Rattus norvegicus: one gene and its partner. The protein of the gene in region 2 interacts with the protein of the main gene of each other region in a pairwise test. Links are inferred from orthologs where the notes say so. Each region holds a gene or a part of one and is shown on either strand. Other genes may lie near its edges.

The links.
Region 1: the proteins of Irf9 (region 2) and Irf1 interact in a two-hybrid assay, tested with the Homo sapiens proteins (2 studies listed by BioGRID and IntAct). The link is inferred for Rattus norvegicus from reciprocal best matches to the Homo sapiens genes IRF9 and IRF1.

What each region holds. Positions count from the first base shown.
Region 1 is NC_086028.1:38,420,791-38,423,361, reverse strand, and holds part of Irf1 (interferon regulatory factor 1), read right to left. Parts: intron 2,002-2,571; coding exon 1,775-2,001; intron 1,689-1,774; coding exon 1,556-1,688; intron 1,381-1,555; coding exon 1,258-1,380; intron 694-1,257; coding exon 644-693; intron 1-643. UniProt on the Homo sapiens protein: Transcriptional regulator which displays a remarkable functional diversity in the regulation of cellular responses.
Region 2 is NC_086033.1:33,068,207-33,072,481, reverse strand, and holds the end of Irf9 (interferon regulatory factor 9), read right to left. Parts: intron 3,469-4,275; coding exon 3,124-3,468; intron 2,178-3,123; coding exon 2,062-2,177; intron 1,934-2,061; coding exon 1,823-1,933; 3' UTR 601-1,822; downstream 1-600.

The DNA of each region.
Region 1 (2,571 bases), on a different chromosome or scaffold from region 2:
TGTCACCATCCCTCTCATCTCGCCTCCACCCTCTGGCACAGAATCTGCATGATTTCCCTCTGCTGGGAAGGACATGGCAACTGGCAGGCAGCTTAAAGCAAAGGTTAGCATAACAAGCCAGGAAAGACGGAGACAAGGACCTGGATGGATCCACATCTCAAAGTTCGGTGCTCAAGGGCCAGACTCGAGCTAAAACTACCTCAGAATCTTTAATGGTCACTTAGAAAACTGCAGCTGAAAAAGTAAACCACCATTTAGAACTTGCTAAGAAAAAAAAAACAAAAACAAAAACCAGAGGGTTTTATTTATTTTTCCTAAAGCCATCCTAGTACAGATCCCAAAAGCTGATTATTGAAACCTGATGTGCATTACCCAAACCTGACGGGCTGGGTATGCTGGGGCGGAGGACACAGTGCTCAGGGGGGTGCTGACTCAGAGCTGTCTGGGACCCTGAGGCTTGCTGGAGCATGGCCTGTTAGAGACTAGGCTTCTCACCTGCTGAGGCAACAGTTCCCCCAACACATGAAGTAGGGGCACTTGCGGAACTGCATAGGTAGCCAGATTACAGCACCTGCCCTAAGTGACTTGCAAGCTGTCCCTAGCTTGCCTTCTCTTCCCGGATGCAATATGCAAAGGGATTTACCTTCATGATGTCCTCAGGTAACTTCCCTTCCTCATCCTCATCTGTTGCAGCTGTGAGGAGGGACAAGAGGTTGGCCATGAATGTTTGCCCTGCAGCTCCCCGCCACCTCCCCAAGCCTCCCAACCAGCATCTGCCTGCCCTGGAGATTCCAGAACAGGACACTGGCTTGATGACTCACCCTCCCCAACTACAGAGCAAGGCCGCATCCCACCCCTTCACTTCCTTCCTCACCCTCAGACAACTGAGTGCGGGGAAGCCAGGAGCACTAGCCACCTTTGACCAAGATGTGGCCCAATTCCCTCCCTCTTGGCCTTGAGCACATGAAAGCTCTGAACGGTTTTGTGTCTCAGGAACTTGCTTTCTTGCTATGGGGATAGGGTAAGCAGTGCCCGGCTCCATTGGCTCAAAGGCACATAGGTTTCTTCACCTCCACCCCACAGTGGTTTCTCTGTGAAGGCCTAGCTGTTCTAGAACTCACTATGTAGACAAGGCTGGCCTCCTAATGCTGGAATTAAAGGTGGGTGCCAATGCCCAGCTTGGCACATAGATTTCTAGGCAGACTCTATTCCCCCTCAAGACGCACATGAGGCAGGCCAGTCCCTAAGAGTACAAACCTTCAGAGGTGGAGGGCATGGGCGACACCTGCAAGTTGTACAGATCAGTGGTGCTGTCTGGCATGATGTCCATCTGCATATGCCACTCAGAGAGACTGCTGCTGACGACGCACGGTGACAGAGCTGGGAGAAGGTGCAAGTCAGGACGGGCGTGCTCTCTTAGTTTGCAATACCTGAGCCCCTCCACCCTGCACGCTTCCCTGACAGAGTCCCATGATTATGCCCCACACTCTTCTCTGTTCCCACGATGCCTCTTGGGTGGAACCTAAAAGCGCCCTTGCCACAGTGGCGACCTCACCTGGGGTAATGTCCCTGTCCATGTCCAAGTCCTGACCCAGGTATCCCTGAGCTGTGTAACTGCTGTGGTCATCAGGCAGAGTAGAGCTGCTCAGTCCGTCAGATAAGGTGTCAGGGCTAGAATCTCCGCACAGCTACAGAGAGGAAACAGCTTAGGCCTGCTGTGGCACTTACCCACTGCCCCCCTACCTAAGGCTGGGCTGCTTAGAGTCAAGCTCACCTTCCTCTTGGTTTTGCTCTTAGTGTCACGGCTGGACTTGGACTTTCTCTCTTTCCTCTGGTTCTTGGTGAGGGGTGGCAGCATCCGGTACACGCGTACAGCAGAGCTGCCCTTGTTCCTGCTCTGGTCCTTCACTTCCTCGATGTCTGGTAGGGAGTTCATGGCACACCGGAAGTTTGCCTTCCAAGTCTTGGGATCTGGCTCTTTTTCCCCTGCTTTGTATCGGCCTACAGACCAGGAGAATAAATTCATCCATCAGCCGCTCTCTGGGCTGGGAGAAGAAAGGCAAGGGTACCCCACCCCAGACATCCATACAGGGGTTAACTAGCAAAAACCACTGTCAACAAGTCCTGGGGGTTCTCATATGCCCAGAGTTGGCTCAGATATCCAGCAGGGATGGGAAGGGCTCAAATAGGCTCACTTGAGTGTCTCTACCCCCCATACATGTGCTAACTGTCTTGGACCGAAACTGTCTCCCTGCTTACGTTCTCAGCAGCCAGAGACTTCTGGGACTGAGGCTTATCTGATGTTTGTGAAGTACAAGTGGGCACAGAGCTGGCAACAAGGACAGTTACTAACAGGTCTGAATAGGATCAAGTGCCTGATTCCTGAAAGAAGAAAGGGGGGCCGGCCACCAACCAGATGGGGCTTGGGTCAAGGACCTTTAGTTAGGACCTTGAGAAAGGAAGATAGAAGTGTCTGGGTACCCTGATGCACAACTGTCTTTTCTACGGGACAACTGCAGTCTAGACAGACCCCTGAAAGTACACATACTTTCTAACATTTTTGCCTTAAAA
Region 2 (4,275 bases):
CAGAGTACCAAAACATGGCTATCCAAGACAGGGTCAAGCTGGCCTGGTGTCAGAGGCAGGCAGATTCTGAGTTCCAGGACTGACAGGGCCTGACACTGCTACACCGTGAGGCTCTGTCTCAAACAAACAAATGAGTCAGGATCCCAGGTAGCCCAGATAGCCCTCAGACTCCTGATTCTGATCCCCTACCTCCACTTCCCAAGTACTGTGATTATAGGCACGAACCACCATGCCTGGCCTAGGTCAGATTGCCTTTTGTGGGGCTCAGTAGAGAGGAATCCAGTTTAGAAGTGCCCGCCAGTCACACTGAGTGTTACCAAGGACGAGCATGTCCCCACAATGTCTGCAGCAGCAGACACAGGAAGACACAGCAGACACTGCAACTCTTCCCTCAAGCTTCCTTCCCTCTTATGTCCTGGAAGTTTGGACCACAGTTCCAGTGTCTCCTCCTGGTCTAGACTTCTAGTCCGGGGACCATCCCTATTCAGGCACATTCCTGAAGCCCTAGCAAAACACTGTGCAGCCACAATGTCCCACATGAAGTTGGCGGCTCCCTCAGTTACCTTTTAATGCTATAGTAGATACCATGACCAAGGCAACTTAGGAATGACAAAGTTTAATTTGGGGCTCACATTTCTAAAGGCTTAGAGTCCGTGACCAAAACGGCAGTGAACACAGCAGCAGGCAGGCAGCCAGGAATGGTACTGGGGTTGAGAGCTTACATCTGATTTACAAGCACGAGACACAGAGAGTGTGCTAGCAGGGAAACCTCAAAGCCCATGGCTAGTGACTGACACACCTCATCCAACGCCACACCTCCTGACCTTTCCCAGGTGGGTCCACTGAGGACCAAGAATTCACATATGAGCCTATGGAGGCTAATCTCATTCAAACCGCCTTGTGGCTATAGTGCTGTCTGCCTGTAGGCAACAGTGCCTGTCTTAGAGGTTGACCCCAATCCAATCTCAGTTGCCTGTAACTTGGGTGGGGGCCCCTTACCCTCGAAGTACCAGGTCAAGTCTGAAAAAAAAAGGGGGGCGGGAAGGTCAACTGGAAAAAAGAGTAAAGGGAGGGAGACATGGGGGTACGGCCAGGCATAGTGGTGTACACCCAGAACCCCAACACTCAGGAGGCTAGGGCAGGAGAAATCACCATGGGTTAGAGACTATGGCACTCTGGCTAGGCCCAGAAACACCATGTGACAGAGAACCCAGATACTGGGTACCTTGGTCTCCATCTTAACCCCTGCCACCCTCTCCTAACGAATCAGATCCTGATCTCTCTCTCTTAGTAAGCTTTTATTTACTGTTTGGAGACAGACAGTATCACCAAGGCTGGCCTTGAATTTGAACTCACAATCTTCCTGCCTCTGCACATACACTCCTATGTGCCGAGTGTGTACTACCTCACCCAGCTAAATTTTATTTTATTCTAGTGAGAACTGAGGGGGGAAATATATATTTATATATATACATACACACATACATACAGCTTAGGTTTAGAGTTAGGGATTGGGAGGATAGCAAAATTTCCTCTGAGATCACACCCTTTGGAACTTTCCAGTTTCTTAGAAATGAAAGAAGATATAGCTTTAGAAAAAGGAAATAGAAGTCTCCCCCAGGTTGTCCTTGAACTCATAATCCAGTGCTGAGATTATGAATATCCACCAACGAGTCTGGCTCTCAGAATAGTTTTTGAAGATAAAAGTTATCCTTGCACTTTCTCTTGGCCACATTGGAAAGCCCACAGTGATAAGAATCATCACGAAAGCAGGCAGACCAACGGTGTGGAGAACAAGTCTATTTCAACGGGGACCCGAGGATCAGAGTGCGAGAGTGGCAGGTTGGTGCTCTGTGTGCTGTACCAGGAACAAGGCAGCTTTCTCCTCTTCTGGAATCTTCTCTAGTAAATTTCGGGCAAAGGCCTGCTCCATCTGTGCAGGAGGAAGTGAGGAGCGGCCTCAGTGAGCACTGTAGGGACAGCCACCACCCTGCAGCCCCTTCCCTCAGGGAGTTATCTGAGACAAATCATCACAGAGCTCCATCCCGGGGCTGAACTTACCCGCACCGTGATAAGATTCTCTTGGGTATGGCTAGAGCTAGGACTCCTGTCCCAGAAATGCAGTGTTGCTTGGTACTTGGGTAGAGGTCCCTGGCCCTGGAAGTACTGGGCCAAATCTGAAAGAAAAAGGGTCAAGGATTGGAAGGAAGAAGGCAAGGCATGGCAGTAGGTCAGGCATGGTGGTGTGCGGCCAGGCACGCTGGTCAGGCTGAGGTTGGCAGAGTCACCACATTTGAGGCAGCCTGATCTACTTAGTGAGTTCCAGGACACCCAGAGTGGTATGAGGACTTGCCACAAAAGCAAAAACAAAAAAGATAGAGGGCCATGAGTGAAGTGACACTGCCTGGGGAGCCAAACGCAGAGAAAACTGGGATGGGGTAACTCCGGCACCCAGGGCACAGCAGAAACTGTGGTTTGGTGCTGCGAGGAACTAAGCTGTTCTCCCTGCTGCTGCAGGAAGAGGCAGCCCCTTCCTGCAGTTCACAGGAGCAGATGCTCCTGCTGAGAGGCTCGAAGTCCTCAGAAGCAGCAGCCCTGCCTACCAACCCCTTGGTTGCTTGCCTGCTCTCCCAATACTAGGACAGCACTCTGTCCTCAATGTTCCTCTCTCCACTCCTCCTCGCACATTTAGAGGCTGTGACTGGAATCTCGAGAGTGGACGGGAGAAGGAACAGTCCTAGAAGATGCTTACAATATGGCAGAGAGATGGGAGAGAGGGGCAAGTGTGGGTAAGGTGTCTTGGCTCTTCCACAGAGCTGTGTTTGCCAATGTCTGAGGAGTCACAGGGCTTAAAAATCCACGCAAACTAAACTGTACAAATTCACTTAACCACGCTGCTTCCCCAAGACGTATCACTTAAGAGCTCAACTCCAGCTGACCCTCATCTACCGTGGCCTTGGCTAGGGGAAGTCTGCAGAGTGGAACAATATGGCTACAGAACATGTGTATCACACAACGCAGGGGTCCCACGCAGTGAGGATGAGCTGCTGGGGAGGGTGGTGGGGAAACCCACCGGGCGCACAGGATAACGAGGAAGGGGAGGTCGAGCCGGGACACCCTTACCTCTACAGAAGTATGTGGTACTGAAGAGCTCCACACACTTATTGCTGGGCAGCAGATGAGGCCCAGGCCCAGGTGGGGCCTCGGGTGCGTTCCAGGAGATGGGGATGGGGCAGAGGCGCTGAACAAAGAGGCCTCTGGAATTGCTGGCCACCAGGATGCCTCTCTCGAGCTGATTCAGCAGGCTCTGGGTGGGCTCCAGTGGGTCAGGTCTGGGAAACACCACCTGCTGCACCATGCTGCTCTCCGGGTCTGAGGGCTCAGCCACAAGCCGACAGTCTAGGCTGTGCACCTGGATCTCATGCACCACGCGCCCGCCATAGATGAAGGTGAGCAGCAGCGAGTAGTCTGGGGACAGAAAGGTTCAGGAGGAGCCCTGAAGGCTGCTGGGAGGCCCTCTCCCCCAAGGCAGCCCAAGTAACAAGGCTTTAGAAAAGGGAAGCTCGTTTTGCTAATGGGAAAACTGAGGTCCAGAGCAGGAATCCAAGAAAGCACTGGGAGAGAGAGCAGGGCTGAGACAGCTCCTCCTTTCCTAACTAAAGGTTAGGGAAGGTTCCTTTCATCTGATAATGTGGCTCAGTGGTTGCCTACCATGCTTAAAGCCCAGGCAAGGTTCAATCAGCATAAACCCTTAGGACCCAGCATGCTAGCACATCTGTAATCCCAGGAAGACCAGGAATTCAAGGTCATCTTTAGCTACAGTGCTGTCAGTCTGCCGTCATGAGGCTGTCTTTAAAAAAAGGAAGAAGAGGGCTGGAGAGATGGCTCAGCGGTTTAGAGCACCCGACTGCTCTTCCAGAGGTCATGAGTTCAATTCCCAGCAACCACATGGTGGCTCACAACCATCTGTAAAGAGATCCGATGCCCTCTTCTGGAATACCTGAAGACAGCTATAGTGTACTTATATATAATAAATGAATAAATCTAAAAAAAAAAAAGGAAGAAGAGAAAAGAAAGGTGCCTTCCTTCTCCACATTGATGCTTTCCTCTCTTCCCCCATCACTTGGGAGTCATGCCCATTAGAACTTAATGCTCATGGCTGCAGTGTGTACAAGAAAACCTCACAGCCTGGACTTTTCTGGATGATAAAAGAAATAAATGTTTCAATGTGGCTGTTGGAAGAACAGAGTACTTAAGCTGTTTTCTGAGGGCGAA